3 linked regions of the Elephas maximus indicus genome follow. The protein of the gene in region 1 interacts with the protein of each later gene in a pairwise test. Links are inferred from orthologs where the notes say so. Each region holds a gene or a part of one and is shown in the gene's direction. Other genes may lie near its edges. The genes, in order: APIP, PDZD4 and NUDT18.

Evidence for each region.
Region 2: the proteins of APIP (region 1) and PDZD4 interact in a two-hybrid assay, tested with the Homo sapiens proteins (2 studies listed by BioGRID and IntAct). The two-hybrid records come from large-scale screens. The link is inferred for Elephas maximus indicus from reciprocal best matches to the Homo sapiens genes APIP and PDZD4.
Region 3: the proteins of APIP (region 1) and NUDT18 interact in binary tests that used the Homo sapiens proteins (3 or more experiments, as listed by UniProt). The two-hybrid records come from large-scale screens. The link is inferred for Elephas maximus indicus from reciprocal best matches to the Homo sapiens genes APIP and NUDT18.

What each region holds. Positions count from the first base shown.
Region 1 is NC_064825.1:90,201,049-90,208,641, reverse strand, and holds the start of APIP (methylthioribulose-1-phosphate dehydratase), read left to right. Parts: upstream 1-4,565; 5' UTR 4,566-4,591; coding exon 4,592-4,648; intron 4,649-7,593. Other genes in the region: PDHX (pyruvate dehydrogenase protein X component, mitochondrial), read right to left, coding at 4,042-4,219. UniProt on the Homo sapiens protein: Catalyzes the dehydration of methylthioribulose-1-phosphate (MTRu-1-P) into 2,3-diketo-5-methylthiopentyl-1-phosphate (DK-MTP-1-P).
Region 2 is NC_064846.1:2,522,662-2,530,521, forward strand, and holds the start of PDZD4 (PDZ domain-containing protein 4), read left to right. Parts: upstream 1-4,838; 5' UTR 4,839-5,045; coding exon 5,046-5,105; intron 5,106-7,860.
Region 3 is NC_064840.1:52,592,460-52,600,395, forward strand, and holds the start of NUDT18 (8-oxo-dGDP phosphatase NUDT18), read left to right. Parts: upstream 1-4,849; 5' UTR 4,850-5,038; coding exon 5,039-5,200; intron 5,201-6,503; coding exon 6,504-6,717; intron 6,718-6,941; coding exon 6,942-7,537; 3' UTR 7,538-7,936. UniProt on the Homo sapiens protein: Mediates the hydrolysis of oxidized nucleoside diphosphate derivatives. Hydrolyzes 8-oxo-7,8-dihydroguanine (8-oxo-Gua)-containing deoxyribo- and ribonucleoside diphosphates to the monophosphates. Hydrolyzes 8-oxo-dGDP and 8-oxo-GDP with the same efficiencies.

The sequences.
Region 1 (7,593 bases):
TTAAATATCCTTGCAAGTATCACAACCTCTTTGCTGTAGAAAATGAGTGAAAATGTTTACAGAAACAGGTTAGAACTAGGAAATATTTAAAGATAAGTTATAGGGGGGTCTTTCAGGCCCCTGGAAGCACATACGAAAGTTTGCATATATGCATTTTTCTGAAGTGGTAAAGCTTTTATCAGTTTCAAATAGATTTGTGCCCCTCTAAAAGCCAGTGCTAGAAGAATCCCAAGCAAGATCTCCTGAACTATACACTTGAAAACCCCATTGGTGTCGAGTCAATTCTGACCCATAGCGACCCTACAGAACAGAGCAGAACTGCCTCATACAGTTTCCAAGGAGCGCCTGGTGGATCCGAACCGCCGACTTTTTGGTTAGCAGCCATAGCACTTAACCACTATGCCACCAGGGTTTCCCTAAATTCTTCCTAGCAGTGTGGTGGTGCAATGGTTAAGCGCCTGGCTGCTAACCGAAAGGCTGGCAGTTTGAACCCATCCAGTGGCTTCACAGGAGAAAGACATGGCGATCTGCTAACATAAAGATTAAAAAAAAAAAAGCCAAGAAAATCCTATGGCACAGTTCTACTTTGTCCCATGTAGTCACTATGAGTCAGAATGGACTTGAGGCACCCAACAACAACGTTTCGTTTAATACAAAAAAAGTCCATAATTTACACAGTTGCAGAAAAGTATCAATTAAATCACTGTTGTCTGAAATTTGTCGCTTGCCTCTTAAAACAAAATGTATAAATCTTCCATTATATGTGCTTGTTTATTCTTTTGCTAGACTGTAAGTGACTTTTTTTTTTTACGCTTGTCCACAATTGCAAAATAAACTGGGATTCATGAGGAATTTTAATTTTACACTTTAATACTAAGAAGACCCGTATTACAAGTTGGTAAGTCTTCTGACGTTTTTAGTTTATTTCACTCATAGGAAAAATATCTACAACCACAGACTACCTAACAATTCCAGACAGCCTCCTTACAAATGTGCCATTGGATGCTAAGTGAAAGCATATGAATCAACAGATTTCATAAATAAAATGGGGTGTGTATACTTGGTAGGCAATATATAGGGGTCCCTGGGTGGTGCAAGAGGTTAACTCGGCTGCTAATCGAAAGGTTGGAGTCCACACAGAGGCACCTTGGAAGAAAGGCCTGGTGATCTACTTGTGAAAAATCAGTCATTGAAAACCCTATGGAACATAGTTCTACTCTGACACACAGGGGTTGCCATGAGTTGGAACTGACTCCAGGGCAACTGGTTTACACAGTTCATTTATTAAAGCTAATTCACAATGTAAATATTACTAAAATTTGTTTTAAAATATACATTCAGCTCATTAACATTATAATGGAGACCTACTTAATTTCCCAGAGCCTTAGTATTTTCATCCATCAAAAATGCAGATAATGCCCACTCTACTAGGCTGTTTGAGAAGCGGATAAGAAGTTCTCGGAATTAGTAAGCATATGAAGTATGTCACAGCTTATAAAAATGCTGCCAATGAACACTTTTTAAGGAAACCAAAACTCCAAAGGTACTTCCAATTAACAGGTTTTTAAATCCTTGAAAGGTGTGAAAGAGGAAACAGTTCATTAATGTACTTAATCACATAGCCTACAGATTACCAGATAGCTGTTTAGTTTCATGGGACTACAATTTCTACAGAGCTCAATGAAGAACTGGGAAGACACTGTAAATTCATGCTTTGTAAATCAAATAGTTTAAGGACTGCCACATGTATTCAGCATGGCAAAACAAGAACTTGTAGGTCAAAGTCATAAGGAGATAAATTTTGGCTCGATACAGGAAAAAAAAAAAAATCCAAAGTTTCCAAATAACTTACAGCTATCCAATAACACAGTAGGCATCTGCAGTAGGCAGAATAACCGACCCCTCCCCCAAATTTCCACACCCTAACCCCAGAACCTGTGGTTATGTTACGAGGTAAGAGGAAGATGAAGGCTGAAGATGGAATTTAGGTTGCTCATCAACTGATTCTGAGGGCCAGAGTACCCTGGATTATCCAGGTGTTCCCAGTGCAATCACAAGGGTCCTTATAATTAACAGGGAAGCAGGGGGAAGTGTCAAGACTGATGTAAGACAGAGCTGACCATCACTGGCCTTGAAGATGGAAGGAAGCCAGGAACCAAAGAATCCAGGCCACCTCTAAAAGCTGGAAAAGGCAAGGAAACGGATTCTTGGCCAGAGCCTCCAGAGGAACATGGCCCTGTCAACACCCTGATTTTAGCCCATGAAACCAATTTTGGACTTCTGACCTCCACAACTGCAAGATAAGAAATTTGTGATGTTTTACGCCACTAAATTTGTGTTAATTTGTTGCAGCAGCCATGGGAAACCAACACAGCCTTCCTTGGGGTGTAGCTCCCTCTCCTTACAGATGATGTTCAAGCAGAGTTAGACAAGTTACTCATGCTGTGTGTGTGTGGGAAGGAAGGGGGTAGAAGGTTATGATGCAAATAAGGACTGCCTAAGTGAGTTTCTCTCTAAGGGGCAGTTCTACTCTGTCCTGTAAGCAGTGGGTTTGGTTTAGTAGGTTTAAGTGAGTTTCTAAAGGCAGGAGTCCCTCAACTGGGTCCAAGGAAAACCTCTGAAATTGCATGCATATTTTTGTGTATTTACACATATGCCCCTTTCTCTGCAGAAAGGCTCTAGAGCATTCAAAGATCCTCAAAAGGACCTGTTTCATAAACAAAGTTAAGAAAACTCTTCCTAGATTATTCCCAACACTGAGCTTTTAATATTCCATGATTTTCTTAGGCAGTATATCTTAAAGTGTAGTCCATCAAACACCTATATTAAAACTCACCTAAGGGTGGTTGTAAAATGCAGAATCCTGGGCTTCACCCCAGACAGGATCTTGGTGAGCTATACAAAAATTCGATTTTTAACAAACTTGGGTAGAGGAGGGGGGAGAGGGCTTCCATCACTCCAAGGAATATTTTATGAAATATCATGCTGAAGAAACTGAAATTGTTTCCATCACCTAATCTTTAGAAACACCAATGCACTCATCTAATTGTGTGACTTCGTGTAACTTATCTTTTCTGAGCCTCAGGTAGCTCAGAATATGTAGATGATGCCTACTGCACCTAATTTTTAAAACAAAAAATTATTCTGTGGAGACCCAGGAATGATGATTGGCAGGTAATAAATAGGTCAATCAAAAAAACACTAATCTTATTTTCTTCTGTCCCATGTAAGGAAAAATAATACCCTGCATGCCAATTTCTGGAAACCCTGGTGGCGTAGTGGTTAAGTGCTAGAGCTGCTAACCAAAGGGTCAGCAGTTCGAATCTGCCAAGCGCTCCTTGGAAACTCCAAGGGGCAGTTCTACTCTGTCCTATAGGGTCTCTATGAGTCAGAATCGACTCGATGGCACTGGGTTTGGTTTGGTTTTGGTTATGCCAATTTCATCTTGTCAACATCATTACTAAATGACAGCGTTCTACAATAAATGTCTTGGTATGATTCTCCTCTTAGCAAGGGGACGGTAACTCAGACCTCTCTCCGTGATGCCATAGGCATTTACAAACCATGTCCGTTAGGAGACATCCGTGGGGCAACCCGACTGGCCTCTAGGAAAAAACCTCTCAGTAGAGATGGTCATACAGAATGAATAAAAACGTCTAACAGTGGCATTTAGCTGTCAGCAACCTTGGCAGCTTTCCCCCGTACGAGGTGCTTGACGACCCTAAAGGAACCTGAGGCGTGACTCGTTAGGGACCTGACAGAAGGGCGTTTAGGCCCTTTCTCCGCTGCCTCGTAAATAACCCAAATTTCAAAGCAGGATCACGATGAGGGACCAGAAACGGAGTAAAGATATCCCAACACCCAGGAAAAACCTTTGCGGCATGCACCAGGCCAAGCCCGCGGATCCCTCCCGGATGACGAGCCAAGAGAACAGGGAGCCGCGGGAACCTCCACACCCAGACGCACACCCTCAGTTAGTAATGGACCTATTCGGGCCCATTGCTCAGCTACAGAGGCGCTGAGCGAGCCCCACTCACTCACCATGCATCCACTGTGTGCCGTGAAACCATCTCCAACTACCTACTCGGCCGCCAAAGCACGCGGCAGCCCCCTTAAGCAGCCCGGGGCCCTTAAGCGGCCCGGGGCTTCGGCGGCCGCTGAAACCCAGGAGGTAGCGTAGTATACGGGGGTCACAGCTTAACCTCCAGGAGGCCGCCATTTTCCCAGCCTTCGCGCGGGTTGTCCGCAGCACAGCCTGATCGCCCAGTCATCGAGGCCCCCCCAGGCCCCGCCTCCAATCTAGTTGATCACGCCCCCTGGCTGGGGCTGTGCTTTTGGGCCTCAGAGTCAAGCCGCCCTCCTAGCCCCGCCCCCAAATTCTTTGGCCCCACCCCGGCCCTCCTGCCTCGCCACAGGATCTCCCAGTCGGTGAGGCCCTCTCAGGCCCCGCCTCCCACCTTGTCCACCCCGCCTCTAGGCTGCCCTCAGCACCGCCTGATTGTTTCTGAGGCCTCACCGTGCGAACCCAGGTGGAACTCCAGGAGCGATCCCGTGCGAAGATCGGAGGCAGCGGGACCATCTTGTCCAGGCTATGTCTGGCTGCCGTGCTCCGGAAGGCGACTGTTTCCCGCAGCAATGCCTCGCTCAGGTAGGGGCGGTACCACCGGTGTCCTTTATTCCAATGAGGCAAGGCGCTGTTGGGACGCTGCTGCCGGAGCTCGGACGTGGGCCTGTCTTAGGGTCGCCAGCGAGGCGTGGAGCCTTGGGCGGTGCTTCGGGCCTGAGGGGACACGACCCCCGCACCCCGCTGCTTCCCCTCGCGGAGTTGAGGGCAGCACCCGTGACGATCGCCGCTACCCTGGCTGGGTTCAGCAGCGGCGGGAGCTGTCCCCCAACGTGCAAGAGGAAAAATAACGGAGCGGGGAGTGCGTTTGGGCGTCTTATAAGTGTGTTTTAAAACCACTTGTCAGGAAGGCAGGACGAGGAAAGAAACGAAGAGTCCTGGAGTGGAACTGAAGCTAACTAACAGTTTGAGCTCCTCGAACTTATTTTCTGTCCTCTGGCGACTGACTCGACGTTTGGCACACAGCAGGCACTCAGGAAACGTTTGCCGAACCAGAGCTAAGCCTCAGTAGCGAGCACTTTTCCTTTGAGCAGATGCTGTTTGCCTACCTCAGTTTAGATTATGGAATGATCATGAAAACGATTCTTCCTTAAGCTGAAGTCAAAGGAAAATCTACTCACAGACTATATATTTTTTACTCTCTCATAGATGCCAGTGATCATAAGGATGATTCAAACTGGACATTATTTCTTTATGTTACACATGGCAACCTTAAGTACAACAGAAGACGATGTCTAGTCCTGTATCATCCTCATGATAACTGGCATGTTCAAGTGCATAGTTGCAGCAATTGTGCCAGTCCATCTCACAGAGGTATCCATGGCCCTCTACTTCAGGGTAAATGTTGTCCTCTAGCGATTGTTCCCTCCTGGTGATGAGTTCAAAGCAAGTGAGTTGGACAGTGTTCTGATGTGATCCATAGATTTTCTTTTTAAAAATTTTTAAATTTATCGTGCTTTAAGTGAAAGTTTACAAATCAAGTCAGTCTCTCATACAAAAACTTAAACACACCTTACTATGTACTCCTAGCTTCTCTCCCGATAATGAGACAGCACACTCCTCCTCTCCAACCTGTATTCCCTGTGTCCATTCAGCCAGCTTCTGTCCCCCTCTGCCTTCTCATCTCTCCTCCAGACAGGAGCTGCCCACATGGTCTCGTGTCTACTTGAGCCAAGAAGCTTACTCCTCACCAGTATTATTTTTTGTTTTGTAGTCCGCTCCAGTCCCTGCCTGGAGTTGGCTTCAGAAATGGTTCCTGTCTTGGGCTAACAGAGGGTCCAGGGACCGTGACCTCTGGGGTCCCTCTAGTCTAGGTCAGACCGTTAAGTCTGGTCTTTTTACGAGAATTTGAGGTCTGCATCCCACTGTTCTGCTGCTCCATCAGGGATTCTGTTTTGTTCTCTGTCAGGGCAGTCATGGGTGGTAACTGGGCATTCTCTCTTTCTTCTGGTCTCAGACTGATGTAGTCTTTGGATATGTGGCCCTTTCCGTCCCTGGGGCTCATATTTACCTCGTGTCTTTGGTATTCTTTCTTCTTTGCTCCAGGTAGGTTGAGACCAATTGATGCATCTTAGATGGCTGCTTGCTAGTGTTTAAGACCCCAGACACCACTCACCAAAGTGGAATGCAGAATGTTTTCTTAATACATTTTGTTATGCCAGTTGACCTAGATATCCCATGAAACCATGGTCCCCAGACCCACGTCCCTGCTACTCTGGCCTTCAAAGGGTTTGGTAGCATTCAGGAAACTTACTTGCTTTTGGTTTAGTCCAGTTGTGCTGAACTCTCCTCTAATGCATGTGGTCTTTCCCTTCATCTCAGTAGTTCTTGTCTACTATCTAATTAGTGAATACCTCTCTACCTCCCTCCCCACCCTCGTAACCATCAAAGAATGTTTTCTTCTGTGTTTAAACTTTTTCGTGAGTTCTTACAATAGTGGTTTCATACAATATTTGTCCTTTTGCAACTAATTTCACTTAGCATAATGCCTCATAGATTCCTCCATGTTATGAAATGTTTCACAGATTCATCGTTGTTCTTAATTGTTGCATAGTATTCTATTACGTGAATGTACCATATATATATATATATACACCCATTCATCTGTTGATGGGCACCTTGTTGCTTCCATCTTTTTGCTATTGTAAACAGTGCTGCAGTGAACATGGGTGTGCATATATCTGTTCGTGCGAGGGCTCTTGTTTCTCTAGGATATATTCCAAGGAGTGGGATTGCTGGATCGTGTGGTACTTCTATTTCTAGCTTTTTAAGGAAGCACCAAATTGATTTCCAAAGTGGTTGTACCATTTTACATTCCCACCAGCAGTGTATAAGTGTTCCAGTCTCTCCATAACCTCTCCAACATTTATTATTTTGTGTTTTTTGGATTAATGCCAGCCTTGTTGGGGTGAGATGGAATCTCATTGTAGTTTTGATTTCCATTTCTCTAATGTCTAATAATCATGAGCATTTCCTCATGTATCTGGTAGGTACCTGAATGTCTTCTTTAGTGAAGTGCCTGTTCATATCCTTCGCCCATTTTTTAATTGGGTTATTTGTCCTTTTGATGTTGAGTTTTTGCAGTATCATGTAGATTTTAGAGATCAGATGGTGATCGGATTTGTCATACCCAAAAACTTTTTCCCACTCTGTAGGTAACCTTTTTACTTTTTTGGTGAAGTCTTCGGATGAGCGTAAGTGTGTGATTTTTAGGAGCTCCCAGTTACCTAGTTTCTCTACTGGTGTTTGTGCATTGTTAGTAATATTTTGTATACTGTTTATGCCATGTATTAGGGCTTCTAGCATTGTCCCTATTTTTTCTTCCATGATCTTTATCACTTTAGATTTTATATTTTGGTTTTTGATCCATTGTGAGTTAGTTTTTGCATATGGTATGAGGTATGGGTCTTGTTTCATTTTTTTGCGGATGGATATCTAGTTATGCCAGCACCATTTGTTAAAGGGACTCT
Region 2 (7,860 bases), on another chromosome or scaffold:
ATAAATTTTAAGAATTGCATTAAAAACATTCTGAACAGAAAACCTCAACCTCAAGATTCAGGAGGAAAAAAAGAAAACGCTCCAGGAAGAGTAAATTGAAGAATCAAGAGACGTCTTGTAGTAAACAATTCTCAAATGAAACCCAGTGGAAGGAACTTACTCAATACTTTGGAGTCAATGATAGGTTCGGTCCCCCTGTAAAAAAGAAAAAAATTGACAAGTCAGGTCTTGAAAAGAGCATAGACCAGACTTCCAAAGAGTGGAATATTGAGAAGACTGAGGAACTCAGCAACTAGCTGGCTACTCGAGAGCTTGGTGTTAAAATTGCCAAAGCTATCGCCTGCCACAACTTTGTAAAAGCCGAAAAGGATGCTGAAAATTCACAGGTTGTTTGAAAAAAGAAGAAACTTGCATGGAGATCTGAAGCAACGAAGAGATGGGAAACCAAAAGCAACATATGTATGTAATATAAATGTAACTTGCCAGAGCTCTTCCAGATCTTTCTAGACTCGCAAGTGCTTGATTTACTGAAAGATTTTCCTGCTTATACTAAATATGTGAAGAAACTGATAGAAGTAGGAAAACAAAGCCTAAAATTTGGGAGTTGATTATCAAACCTTTTCAATCTTTTTCTAAGGAGCTTATCCTATTGAAGTGGTAGAAGAAATCTAAGCGTACCCCCAGAAAGAAACGATAGGGTCCATTTATTTGTTTATGTAGACCTGTATGTAATATGGAGTCAATTTTACTTTTTATCCGTTTGATATAGCAAAGCCAGTGAGCTCCTTGAACTTTCTTGTCTGTACTTGGTTTGATTGCACTTACTCTGGAATGTGGTTTTTAAGATTGGTATTTATTTATTTATGATTGGTCATAAATGCTAACAAGTCTCACTTGATACTGTCTTTTACCACTGACTTTAATTACCTTAATGTTATAAAAGTAATTGTTGACTCTTTATTGAGAGGCAGTAGAGTTGATATGTCATAGTCACATGCTAAAAGCAATTGATTAATTTTTGTGTACCTTCAGATAAAATATCTCAATAAAAAAATCATAGACTGTAAAAAAAAAAAAAAAAAAGGTCAGCTACTAACCAAAGGGCCAGCAGTTCAAATCCACCAGCCACTCCTGAGAAACCCTATGGAGCAGTTCTACTCTGTCCTATAGGGTCACTATGAGTCGGAATTAACTCGATGGCAACGGGTTTGGGTTCCTTTGGTTTTATAACACAAGCAAAAAAAAAAAAAAAAAAGCATAGGCTTGAAAAATGCCTGCCCGTGGGCCTTGCCTTTTCATGCAGCTTGGAACCCTTCTACCACCACGTGAATGACGACAACCTCGCCTGTTGGAGGAGTCATGAAAAGGAGAAATGAGCACTTTGGCTGGCAGCCTTCCAGCAACTGCCATGTGTCTGAGGGCATTCTTGGCCATCCAGCCCCAGCTACATTGCCAGCAGGTTGCCCAGATCATCTGAGCCCATCCCAAATGGCCAACCCACAAAACTGTGAGCTAATAAATGATTGTTGTTTTAAACCACATTTTGGGATAGTTTGTTACATAGCAAAAGCTAGCTAATACAAAAAGCACCATTAGGCAAACACCATAGTAATAATGGTTGCCAGCAATAATCACTGTCTTAGTCATCTAGTGCTGCTATAACAGAAATACCACAAGTGGATACCTTTAATAAACAGAAATTAATTTTCTCACAGTCTTTTTTAGTAAGCTAGAAGTCCAAATTCAGGGCATCAGCTCCAGGAGAAGGGTTCTGTGTCTGTTGCCTCTGGAGGAAGGTCTTTCTCATCAATCTTCCCCTGGACTAGGAGCTCCTTGCACAGGAACCCCGGGTCCAAAGGATGCGCTCTGCTCTGGGTGCTGCTTTCTTGGTGTTATGAGGTCCCCCTGCCCGTCTGCTTGCTTCTCTCTTTTATATCTCAAGAGATTGCCTCAAGACACAATCCAAACTTGTAGGTTGAGTCTTGCCTCACTAACACAACTGCCACCCATCCTCCCTCATTAACATCAGAGAGGCAGGATTTACAACACATAGGAAAATCACACAGTACTGGGAATCACGGCTCAGCCAAACTGATACACACATATCTGGGGGGACATGATTCAATCCATGACAGCCACCAATGGATGCTAAAATCAGCTGGTGAAAGTTTGAGTAGAAACGAGATATTGCATAGTCTTATAGTATTGTCTCCAAGATATTTATTAATTGTTGTTGTTGTTAGGTGCCGTCAGGGAAAAATAGTTGCTTTACAGCGAAGAAGCCTAGCAGACACCAAGTGACCAAGGTTAACATTACGAGTAATAAAACATAGCGACATCATGTACCCCTTAATATGATACACTGAGAATGGTCCGTGGCATCTGGGGTATTCTTTCTAAAATGCACAACCTCAGTCTAATCATGAGATAACACCAGACAACCCAAATGGAGGGAGAGTCAACAAAATAACTGGCCAGTATGCTTCAAAAGTCTCAAGGTCATGAAAAGGCCAAGAAGGACTGAGGAGCTCAGACTGGAGAAGATTAAGGACACACGACAACTAAATATAGTGTGGGATCCTGAATTGGATTCTGAACCAGAAAAAGGACATTGGTAGAAAAACTGGTGGCATTTGTAAACACAGAGATTATCTAGTAGTCTTAAAAAAAAAAGAAAAAAATTTTTTTTTCTTTGTCTTATGTCCGTGCTAATACGCAAATTTTGGTAATTATACTGAGGTTACACTCGATGTTGACCTTCGGGGAAGGGGAGAGAAAGGTATATGGGAACTCTCTGTAGTGTTGCGCAATTTCTCTGTCAACCTAAGGTTGTTTCAAAATGAAAAGTTACTTAAGAAGCTGCTACAGAGGAGATGATGGGTAGCCCAGTTACATTCTCGGGGACTCTAGCCCGTTTCACTGGCCCTCCTGACGACGTCTCTTATAGAGACTTCGACTTAGTGTCCGCTTGTAGGTAACGGTGGGTATGAGGAGATCTGAGCATTGCAAGGGGTGGGTGGGACTGGACATCTCTGGTGCCTGGCTGCACGTCCTTCTGGCCTGCCATCTGCTCCAGCCATTGCTGGGACACTCAGGTTTCCACAGCTGCTGTGCCTCTCTCGTAGGGGCCTGTGGGGATGCAAGGCAGTTCTCCCTTGTGGGGTGACTCTTGAGCAGAGGGGGATAGGAGTGGATAAATAAATGCTCCCCTTTTTGGTCTTGGGCCCTGGTGGCACAGTAGTTAAGAGCTTGGCTGCTAACCAAAAGGTTGGCAGTTGGAATCCACCAGCCGCTCCTTGGAAACCCTATGGGGCAGTTCTCTTCTGTCCTAGAGGGTCACTATGAGTCGGAATTGACTCCACTGCAACAGGTTTGGGTTATTTTTTTGGTCTTGGGCAGACAGTTCTGAGATGCATTCTACCCAGCTCCTGCCGGGTCAAGCACCAGCTGCTCAGAGTGGCGCCCCACTAAGAATGCACCCTTGCACAGGCTTTCCTCCTTTCCTCTGTCTCCCCAGGCAACTATACCTGAACCCTAAGACCGCATTCCAACACAAACCACCTGTACGCTGGCCCTGCTCTCAAGTTCTCCTTTTTGGGAGAAACCCAGGATAAAACAGATCCCCGATCCAGAGTCCAGGCAGGCCCACCATTCCCCATTCCTGTCCTCCAGGAGCCAGAAGACAAGACTGGCTTCGGTGGAGCCTTCCCCAACGCCGCTAATTACGCAGCCCTGTGTGGTCAATACCCTGGTGGCGCAGTGGTTAAGTGCTACGGCTGCTAACCAGAGGGTCGGCCATTTGAATCCAGGCGCTCCTTGGAAACTCTATGGGGTAGTTCTACTCTGTCCTATAGGGTCGCTGTGAGTCGGAATCGACTCTACCGCACTGGGTTTGGTTTTGGTTTGGTGTGGTTAATGATTCTGTCACTTGCCCAAGCCTGGAAATGAAGCGTGAAGCAATTTAATCAAGCAATCTCCTGCAGGCAGGGGGCCAGGTTCAGCAGCTCCCCTGGTCCCCTGGGAACACAGCCCTCAAGCCGCTGCTACTTGCCAGGCAAAGGCCTCCTCTCTCCAGGCGTGTCCAAGAAGAAGGGTCAGGATCTGGGAGAGAAGAGGAAGCCTGAGCGCGGGGTGGGAACCAGGCGAGCCAGCGCTGTGCGCACGAGGGCCCCACGGAGTCGGAGTCGCCTCGTTGGCTCTCCCCACGACCCCACCGCACCTCAGGCTTTTCTCTTTTTTTTTAAACAAAGGTGACCATTTCAACGACAGGGCGGGAACGCTGAGTTGAAGGAGGAAAGAAGTCATTGAAAGGAAGGCGGAGGGAGGAGTGGAGGCATTCAGCCGGCTCTGTCGGGGACCTAGGACAGGGGCTGCAATCGCGCTCAGGGCTTCGGGGGGACCGCGGCTCCGCCCCCAGGACCCTCTCGCCGGCCGGCACAGCGCCGGCGGCAGGTCCCGGGCCCGGCCGCGGGGGGTTGCGGGGCGCCGGGCCCGTCCAGGCCCCGCCCCCGGCCCGCGCGCGCGCGCCCGTCCGCGCCCTCCCCGCCCCCGCCCCCGCCCCCGCCCCCGCCCCCGCCCCCGCCCCCAGCCGCGGCGCGCGCGCGTGCCGGTACTTCAGGCGGGAGCTGCAGACGGCGGCGCTGCGGGCTGGAGCGGTGCGAAGGGCTAGAGCGCGGGGCGGCGGGCGGGCGAGCGAGCCAGAGCAGGAGGCGCGGGCCGGGCCGGGCGGGGGCCGCCGCCGCGCCGCCGCCCCGTAGTCGGCGGCCGGGCCGCCGTGCCGAGCTCCAGCCGGCTCCCGCCGGCGGCCATGGGCGCGAGCCGCGGGCGGTAGCGGCAGCGGCGGGCCCCGCGGGCGCAGAGGCGCGCAGCCCCGGGCCCTGACGGCCGCTAACGGCCCGCGCGCCCCCTCGCCGCCTTGCTCTCCCCGCGGGGCATGCCCGCCGCCCACCGCCCGTCACCCGCGAAAGGCATGGCCACTGGCCCGGGAGCCCGGGGCCCTCGCTCTGCCCGCTGATCGCGCCCCGCGCTCAGGCGCCGCCGGCACCATGGGGTGCAATATGTGCGTGGTGCAGAAGCCGGAGGAACAGTACAAGGTGATGCTGCAGGTAGGGCCGCCGGCGGCGGGCGGGCTGAGAAGGGGCGCGGCCCGCTGTGGCCCCAGGCGGGGCGGGCCGGAGCCCGCTGCCCTCGTGTGTGGCGGCGCCGGGGGGCGTGGACCGGGCAGCGCGCTCGGACCCGACCTCAGCCGGCGCCCCAAGCGGGCCTCCTGCCCGTGCGCGTGCCTGCGTGAGTGCGTGCCTGTGCCCGTCTGTGTGCGCGGAGGCCCAGCCCCGCGTGTGTGCACTTTCTGTGTGGACCCTGCGATCTGTCTAGAGTAAGGTTCCGCACGGTGAGGACTGAGACCCGGGCCTTAGCGGAGGGAGGCCAGTGGCAGAGCCGGGCGCACGGACAGGTGCTACACCAGCGGCTGGGGTGGAACTCTGGATTTGGTGGTGAGGACCGGAAGCAAGTGTAGCCGGGGCGGGGGAGCCCTGCAGGGGCTACCCAGACGAGTGGGAGGGAATTCCCCAGACACCGCGGCCTTCCGCTCGCTGCCCTCTCCGTGCCCCCCCATTCTAGCCCCCCCCCCCGCACTCCTTTCCCACCCCTCTCTCTTTTCTCTGGTTCTAGCTGTTTGAGAACCTGGCCTGGGAGATCGCCATTCTCCTTTAGCGAGAGAGGGTTCTGGGATTACCCAGCCCAGTGTCAGCTCCAGGGCTGCGGGAGGAGGTGGCTGGGCTGTTGAAGGGGCACAGGATCCCATCTCACAGCTTCTTTTCCTGCAATCATTCCATCAAATGACAAGCAGCTTCTTAGTGGCGGAGTCTCTTCACTTTCTTGGAGAGCAGCTGGTGGAGGGCTTCATTTCAGACTAGCCTCCCCAGGCTGTGTGGAAAGGGGAGGGCTACTGGAGCCTTGCCACAGGACTGAAGTGAGCAGTTGGTGGGAGGGGACGCTGCCTTCTGGGAGGCTCAGTTTGGAAGAAAGGCTTGAGGCAAACCTGAGCGGGAGAATGCCAGCCTTCCCCACCCCCAATGAATGGACTTGGGAAGGAAATCCGGGGAGGGGCCCATCAGCCACCCTCTGTGCTCCTCTGTGCTCCTTCCGGACCTGCAGCTGCCACTGATCGGCGCCCCAGGGGTCACCACTCCCCTTTAAAGCTCCTGCTGAACTTTGGACACAAACCATCACTTTCCTTATCCCCCTTGGCACCAGCTGAGATGGGATGGAGTTAGTTTTAAGAGAACCCTTCTTTAAAAGGAAGGGGCAACAAAAGGGGATTGAACAAACAAGATATGGAAAGCAGGGAAAACCATTAGATGTCTCAGGTGACTTGGCTTCTGGAGTGACAATGGATTCCTGGGCACAGTAAGGAAAGTGTCCCCAGGCTCGTGCCACCTCTCAGAGGAGAATGAAACTCTTGTCCTGAAAGATCAGTCCACTTCCCAGACCCTTGCCTGGATCCCCTCTCCTTGTCACTGGTGCCCTTCGTTTCAGCTGGCACCTCTCCCTGTCTCTCCTTGCCCTCACCCACCTCCTGAGCGACCTGGTCAGCGCTCACCATGGCACCTCAACAAGGTCAGAGACCCCACCAAGACATGATGCGTGGGGCTGCCTCTCAGAGAAATGTCTGTGTGTAGCACCAAAAAAACAAAACCAAACCTGTTGCCATCAATTCCAACTCCTAGCAACCCTATAGGACAGAGTAGAACTGCCCCGTAGAGTTTCCAAGGAGCACCTGGTGGATTTCAACTGCCACCCTTTATGATTAGCAGCTGTAGCTCCTAACCACTAGGCCACCAGGGTTTCCATGTGTAGTACAGTTTCCATATAACTCTTCCTTGGTCTTGAGGTCTGCGCCCCGCCCCTCCCCCCAATTAAGAATCCCCAAATCTATCCTAGCCTGGAGTTCCAAACCCTTTCCTCCCAATGACACATAGGCACTTTTTTTAAGTAACAGCTTTATTGAGATATAATTCACACACCATATGGTTTATCCATTTAAAGTGTACAATTCAGGGATTTTTAGTGTATTCAACAGAGTTGTGTAACCATCACCTCAATCAGTTTTAGAACTTTTCATCACCTCTAAAAGAAAACCCATACCCAGTAGCAGCCACTTCCCATTTCCTGCTAACGTCTCCCCGGCCCTCAACAGCCACCAGCCTACTTTCTGTCTCCATAGATTTGCCTGTTCTGGACATTTCATATAAATGGAATCATACAGTATATGTTTTTTTTCTTTAATCTGGCATCTTTCACTCAGCATAATATTTTCAAGGTTCATCTCTGCTGTAGCAGAGATGTATCAGGACTTCCTTCTTCCTTCTGGCTTAGTAATACTCTGGTGTATGTATGTGTCATTGGCTTAATCCATTCATCTATTGATGGACTCTTGGGTTCTTTCCACCTTTTGGCTGTTGTGAATACTGCTATGAACATTCTTATACAAGTTTTTGTTTGAACACCTGTTTTCAAATTCTTTTTGGCATATACCTAGGAGTGAGATGGCTGGGTCGTATTATCATTCTATGTTTAACTTTCTAAGGAACCGCCAAATTGTTTTCCATTCCCATCAGCAAGTCACAAGGGTTCCAATTTCTGCATATCCTCCCCAACACCTGTTGTTTTCAGGTTTTTCCTGATAATAGCCATCCCAGTGAGGGGTGAAGTCGTATCCTGTGGTTTTGATTTGCATTTCCTTGAAACCCTGCTGGTATAGTAGTTAAGTGCTATGGTGGGCAGTTTGAATCCGCCAGGTGCTCCTTGGAAACTCTATGGGGCACTTCTACTCTGTCCTTTAGGGTCGTTATGAGTTGG
Region 3 (7,936 bases), on another chromosome or scaffold:
CCGCTGCCTCATCACCTTCTGCCCCCACCCATGCCCTGAGCTCTGTTCACACCACCCTCATCCTCCCTGGGCCCTGGGCAACCCTTTGCACTGCAGGCATTGCTGGGCAAGGGGCCCTTGAAATCTGCCCTCTCACTGGAGAGCTGTGAAGTGTGGGGAAGGGATGGGACCAGGGGACTGCCCGGGCTTGGCTGGAGGGAGTGATTGGGGCGATGCCACCCTGCCTGTGCTCCTCCCTCCCTCCGTCCTCTCTCCTTTGAGATTTCCATTAAAGTCTGTTGTTCTGTGAACGCTGCCAGTGTGGTTGGCACTGCTCATGCAGGCCACGTGGTCTGGGGAGGGAGAGGAGACATGGAAATTTGCTCAGGAGCAGGGGCAAATGGAGTGGGTGGGTGGGAACCTGGGGCCGGGGTAACAGGGACCGGCAGCACCTCTGCCTGCTCTTTTCCTGGGGGCCCAGGTCCCTGGCTCTCACTGAGAAGATAAAGCCTTCTATGTGGCTGCCCCCCAAAGATGGCTCCTGACAGACACAGCATTGAGGCAGAGCCCTGGGGCAGAACAGCACTGCTTCCCTGGGCAGCAATGGCCCGCAGAGACCCTGGATCTGCAACCCTCTCTGCAAACCCCAGGCCCCAGCCACCCACCTCTCCTGTCTGACCTGAGGTAGAGATCCATGCATGTGGCCCAGAGGAGCCCTTGCCCAGCGGGTCAGCCCTGAGTGCCTCAGACAGCTGACTGCCCCCCACTTCCCTCTGGTGTGACTCTGCCCCTCCACCCCTCTGCTTGTATATCTCAGCCCCATACATGCGCCAAGTATTGTTATACCTGATTGTTTCTGTGGTGGTTAGGGGAATTTTTTTATTAAATAATTTTTTTTTAAACGTTAATATACTTTAAGAAAAATTACAAAATAAGAAAAAGCCACCTGTAAACCCATCCCTACCTGCTCTAGGCTGAACCACTATTAGTATTTTGGTATGTTTCCTTTTGGTATTTTCCACAAGGTTTTGTACTTGGTTTCTGTCTTTTAACATTGTATTATAGACATTGTCCAAGTTGCTACCAAACCTTCATTGAAATGTCCCATTATATCCCATTAAGTGGTTTTGCCATGATTTATGTAACCATCCCCCCCTCTTTTTTTTAATTTAGATTTCTTCATTGTTCAGAAAGCTAGGTTATTTTTTTCATGGGATAAAAAAATAGAGAAGTCCTACACTTTACCAGGTACTGCACTGTGTTCATTTAAATTATTTCATATAATCTCTTACCAACATTTTGAGGTAGATGTTATTTCCATTTTACAGATGAGGACATGGGCAGATTAGGGTTAAGACAGTCACCCAAGGTCACACAGCTATTTGAGTGGCAGAACTGGGATTTGAACCAAGTTTTCTGACTCAAGCCATCTCGTTTACATTATAGTCTGAGCTCTTAATGGAGTTTAAAGATGGGTTTGCCCTCTTCTCTGTCCTCCTCCTTCCAACATTAAGCACTTTATGTCTGATCATGTTCCAAGTAGCCCTGAATGACCCATTCCCACTTACATTTCACTGTGTATAGCCGTGTCCTGATGTCACCCCAGAACCCAAAGTACAGGGTCCCTGCTGTGGAAAGATGGTGCTCTGAACTTTTGCCATTAAGGAGTCACTGGGCCTCTCTTCCCCACACAGACCTCCCCCAATCTGCATCACACCCCTACCCCATCATGGTGACCCATCCCAGAGGTCATATGTGGTCTGACTGCTTATAAACAGCAGGTGGATCAGTGTTCATTTGTTCCAGGGCTGGCCCGGTCCAGGTGGGCACGGACCCTGAGACTGGGCCTATGGGCACTCGATAGCACTGTATCTCATATAGGCTCGGCGGCTGCTTGACCCCAGTCTAGACCTGCCCTTTGGGCCTCTGCTTCTCACAGGCCTGTCCCAGCATCCCCATTGTCAATCTTCTGTTGTTTCCAGCCCCTCTCACTGGCCAGATTTCACATGTACAGCCCTCAGAGCTGGACATGAGCTCAGAGCGTGTATATCCCCTCGCATCCAATACCTTCTTTTTCTTATAAATTGTTTAGACTTTTTATTTTGAAATAATTTTAGATTTACAGAAGAGCTGCAAGATATGATAGAAAGTTTCCAATTACCCTTCACCCAGCTTCCCCTAATGTTAACATCTTATAAGACACCATGGTACATTTATCAAAAAAAAAAATTTTTTTTTTTTTTTAAGAAATCAACATTGATACAACTTTGTTAACAAAGCAACAGACTCTACTGGGATTTCACCAGCTTTTCACTAATGTCCTTTTTCTGATCCAGGATCCAACAATGCCTTCTTTTCACAGATGGCCTAGAGAATAGATGTGGTTCCTCTAAGGTCACTCAACAAGCTAGTGGCAGAGCCCAGCCTGAGCCAGACTTCTTTCGTAAGAGGGCCTGGAAGCTTGGGCTATGGCCCTCCTCACCTTTCATGCTTTGTTAAGAGACAAGAAGATTTGCTACTCTGTACATGCCTTTAGTGTCACAGATACTCTTGCCCCACCCTTGTCCCTGATGCTCCCTACTACAGGCCTTTCCGCACACGTGTTCACACGCACACACGTGTATGCACCTTGAAATGGCTGGCCCAGGCTTCTCTCCCATAGGTGTTGGGAGCATGGCACTGTACCAGTCAGGCTGTTCCTGTTCGCTCCACTGGTATTGCTTGAGTGGCACCCACACCAGCCAGTTTTCTTCCCTGTCTGGGAATGGAGGACACAGACCTAACTTGACAGAGATCTTTCTTGGTTCCTGGTTTTAGAGGACCACCCTCACTGGCTGGGTCTCTTTCAGCACCTAGCTGCCTCAGCCTCCGTGTCTTTCTATCTCAGCCCCTCTCCCTCCTCAGCTTTTCCCTCTTTCTGTCTCAGGGTCTCTTGAATATGCTCCCTTCCTCTCAATGCCTTGAGAAGAGTCTTTGTTGTCTCCTTTAGCATTGGGAAAGGGCTGAACAGTCCCTCCCATGTGTGCAGCCCTTCACAGTTTACAAGGGACTTTTGCACATTCCATTGCCTCATGTGATCTTCGCCACAGCGGTGATTAGGCCCACTTGGGGTAGCAGAGGAAGACTTTCCCTCAGTGATAATGGGGGGAGTGGAGCCGCGGTTTGTTGTAGTCTTCGCTCTTCCAGGCAGTTAGGCTGTCTGGTGTTTATCTTAGGCTGCCTTTGAGGCTCTCAGAGCCTTGCCCAGACATGACCTCACTCCCTCTCAAATCATCCCTGGGAGGCAGAAAGGCGTCTGGGACCAACGCTGTCCCCACTTCACAGATGGGAAAACCAAGGGATAAACACACACACATAGAGCAAATAAGTTAACAAGTTGCTCTGCAGTCCTGGGGTCCTGGCTCTCAGTCTTGTAAGTTCAGTTGTCTGGGAGGTAAGGAAGTCTTGGATATGGCTGAGGGCAGCAGCATTCACCAAGTGTCTCAAAAGTTCACGAGCCCACCGGGGCTGTCCTGCGGCTGAACATAGGGCCCTACCTCCAGGGAACTTGCAGTTAGTGTCAGTATGTATGAGAAGGGCCTAAAGAGGCAAACATAGTGTGGCTGGAGTTCCCGAGAATAAAGTTTAGTGCTATGGTGGCCCTGTAGGCATATTTCATGAGGGGGAGCGCCTTTTTTCATTGCAAGTCCTGTGGCCAGGAGGGCTCAGCCTGGAGGGTTGGGGGGCTGCCGGATGATGGCACCTCCCTCTGCCCAACACTGGACAGTGCACAGAGCAACTCCCACAACATCTCGCCTCACCTCCCAAACAACCCTGTGAAGAGTTTTTATGATTCTATTTATTCTACAGATGAGGAAACGGAGGCCCATAACTTTCCCAAGGGCATAGAGCAAGCCAGGGGCAGTGGCCAGACTTTCTAGCTTCAAGTCCAATGCTTTATCCATCTCACCACAGGCACTCTCTCAAAAGGGAGGGACACAAAGCCAGCAGGAGGGAAAGAGTAAAGGGGAGGCCTAAATGGAGGTGAGGAGCCCAGACTTGGCTTGCTTCATAGTTTCATTCCAGCTGGTCCAGACTTCCTGTCCTTTGAGGAGGTTAAAGGAAGCTCTGAGGAGGAAAGGTCAGCCTGGGAGAGAAGCAGAGCTCACCAAAACAACCCACACCCTGTTCTCAATGTGCCAGGCCCGTGTACTCGTGGAAGGAAACAAAGAGGAAGAAGCGTAACGTCCTACACTGATGAGGCTTGGCCGGCTGATTCCAGGCCCTCTCTCAGCCTATCCCCCAACCCCCCCGCCCGCCGTACCACACCTTGGTCATCCCGGAGGTGACCTCTCCCTTCTCCGAGTGCCTGTCACACCTCCTGCCACATCACTCATTTAGCACTTAGCTTATAACCCTCAGATGCCTTTTTTATATGTATATGTCCATCTCCCCAACTAGAATCTCCAACACGGGGGTTAGGTCTCCCCTGCCATGTGACATTGAAAGAAGAAAGTCATTTGGAAAGTGATCCTCTGGAGTAATGGCATTGCTTGTTTACAACAAAAGTTCCAAAGTGGATCTAAGCCGCGTGCCAAAGCCCCGTGACGTCATCGCGCTCGTTGTCACGTCATCGTCGCTAGCCACTGGGGCGTCTCTGCACCCGGCAGGCAGGATGACGTCACCTTCGGAACCAGTAGAGGCAAGTGCGCACTAAAGGAATGAGCGAGGTCGGCGGCGGGAGAAATCCGGAAAGACAGAGGAGGCTGCAGGAGCAGCCGACGCCCGGCGGGAGGCCGCGCTGCCCGGCGGCTCCCCCTGCGCTCCGGGCTGGCTCCGCCCCCTCTGGACTGGCTCCGCCCCCTCCGGGCCCTGCGCTGGCCAGCCAACCGGGGCCGGCCGCGGTGACGCGCAGCCTATCAGCGGCGAGGGCTCGCCGGCCCTTCCGCGTTCGCGAGCGCGCCCGGGCCGAGGCCGCGGCAGGGGGTGGGGAGAGACCGGCCGGCCACACGCTCGGCTCGCGTCGCACTGCGTCGGGCTGCTCTGCGCGGTCAGCGCCCGCCGCCTCCCACGGGACCCGATGGCCTCTGAAGGCCTGGCGGGGGCGCTGGCGGACGTGCTGGAGGGCGGGGGGCCGCTCGTGCAGAGCTGCGACTCGGTGCCGGCCGAGGAGCTGGTGGCCCCGGTGCGGCTGCGGAAGAACGTCTGCTACGTCGTGCTGGCGGTGTTCCTCAACGAGCAGGTGAGTGGCCGCGGCCGACCGCCAGCCCCACCGCCGGGCCTCTCGAGCACGCAGGCAGCCCAGGTGGAGACAACCGCAGCTCGCTTGTGTGTGGCATTTTCCAGTTTTGCAAAGCACTTTCACTTACACTAGCATTTGAGCCTGGTGCGGTCCAGGACTGCTATCATCCCGATGTACAGAGGAGGAAACTGAGGCCCAGGGGCTCTGGAACTCTTTCCCAGGTTTGTCCCCTAGGCCTCAGAACCTTGAGGGGAGGGCTGTCTTACTCATCTTCCTTTCCCAGGAGTCCAGTACAGTGCTTGGCACGTAGTGGGCTCTCTTGAAGATCGGAGACCTCCCCTGGGCCCCACGAATAGCAATAGCAGAACCCACACTTACACTCAGGCCTTCTGACTCCTGTCTAATGCCCTTTTTGGTACTGATTTTCCTGTACAAGTTGCTGTAATAACAGCTAGAAGGGGCCAGGACCATACATAGGGTTACATAGGGTTGAGGAAGGGCATGATTCAAAATGTAGCCATTAGTGAAAGGACGAGTCATAAGCAGTTAATCAACTATGTGGCGAGTCTAGATACATAGTGACAAATATAGACATGATTCAGCTCAGGACTCATAGTGAGTCTCACTCTGGGGCCACACGCCCAACCCCTGAAGCAACACCCAGGAATCTCAGCCCCTTTCTCAAGAGGAAGTCTTCCTGAATCTAAAACCAAAAAACAAAGCCGTTGCAGTCGAGTCAGAATAGTCACCCTGTAGGAGAGGGTGAAACTGCCCCATAGGGTTTCCAAGGAGCAGCTGGTAGATTTGAACTGCTGACCATGTTGGTTAGCAGCTGAGCTCTTAACCACTGCACCACCAGGGCTCCTTCTGAATCTGAAGAGGGAAGAATTACAGAAGGTACTCCTGAATAGCTCAACCATTTGACGGTGGCCATCAGAAAGGAGGACTCCCTGGGTGCTGCAAATGGCTAACGTGCTCATCTGCTAACCGGAAGGTTGGAGGTTTAAGTCCACCCAGAGGCACCTTGGAGGAAAGGCCTGGTGGTCTTACTTCCAAAAAATCAGCTCTCGAAAACCCTGTGGAGCCCAGTTCTACTCTAATACATAATGCATCACCATGAGTTGGAGTTGATGCGATGGCAGCTGGGTGTCAGGAGGGGCGTGTTAGGCAGAATGAATGTGAGATGTGATCAGGCCCTACAGCAAGGAAGGGCTTGGGGCTATGCTGCTCCTCTGGACTTCTCAGCACTGGAGCCCCCAGACCAGCTGTGGTGGGGGGGTGAGGATCCTCTCTTTCCCTTCAGGATGAGGTGCTACTGATCCAGGAGGCCAAGCGAGAATGCCGTGGGTCCTGGTACCTACCCGCCGGGAGAATGGAGCCGGGAGAGACCATCGTGGAGGCACTGAAGCGCGAAGTGAAGGAGGAGGCCGGACTGCAGTGTGAGCCTCTGACTCTGCTGTCTGTGGAGGAACGGGGCCCCTCCTGGGTCCGCTTTGTGTTCCTCGCTCGCCCCACAGGTACAGTATTGCCTGGTGGCAGGGAGCAATTGACACCTTTTCCCCCAGCTTGTCTTCAGGTGAGACGAGCCGAGCCCCTCCACAGCCAGCCCTCTTGTGGCTGGTACAAGCCTGAGAACTCTGGGCCTCCTCCCTGGGTCGGGGCTAGAGAGCCTGGGGGTCTGTTCTACTCTGCCGGACCAGGCACTTCTCTTTTGCTTATCCTGTCTCCCAAATCCCCTTAGGTGGAATTCTCAAGACTTCTAAGGATGCAGATGCAGAGTCCCTACAGGCTGGCTGGTACCCACGAACCTCCCTGCCTACTCCATTGCGAGCCCACGACATGCTGTACCTGGTAGAGCTAGCTGCCCAATATTGCCAGCAAGCTAGGCACCCTCTAATTTTACCCCAAGAGCTTCCCTGCAGTCTGGTCTGCCAACGGCTCGTGGCCACCTTTACCAGTGTCCAGACTGTGTGGGTGTTGGTGGGCACCGTGGGGATGCCTCACTTGCCCATCACGGCCTGTGGCTTCACCCCCATGGAGCAGAGGGGCGGCATGAAGATGGCCGTCCTGCGGCTGTTACAGGAGTGTCTGACCCTGCACCATTTGGCAGTGGAAACCAAGGGGTTGCTGGGACTGCAGCATCTGGGCAAAGACCACACAGATGGCATCTGTCTGAATGTGCTGGTGACAGTGGCTTTCCGGAACCCAGGTATCCAAAATGAGCCCCCGAAGATTCGGGGTGAGAACTTCTTTTGGTGGAAGGTAGTAGAGAAGGACCTACAAAGCCAGCTCTTACAGAGGCTTCAGGAGTCATCTGTCATCCCAGTCAACAGATAGGAAGGGGCCAGGAGTGGGCAAGAAGCTGCTCTCCTCCACCACGGCTTCATCTCTCCTCTGAGGGAGACAGGAAGCTGGAGACCAGGGATCTTGTTGCATTGGGAGCAGGGGCAGTTTTCTTGATTCTCAGGGGATTCCCATCTCTCCCTGGCTATGGAGCAGGTCCTACATCACACCCACCAAGAAGGACAGTGCCTTTAACCAAGCAAGGAGTCCAGAGCTCGGGGACCTGATTGCCCTGAGGGCAAACTGAAGCTATTTCATAAGGGGATGTGGGAACTGTCTGAACCTGAGATGTCATATAGTCATCATTTCCTGTGTCCACCTCCATACATGCCTACATCTGAGTCCTCTCAGGCACTTAGAACATGAAAGGGGCATGTGGGGAGCAGGCCCCTT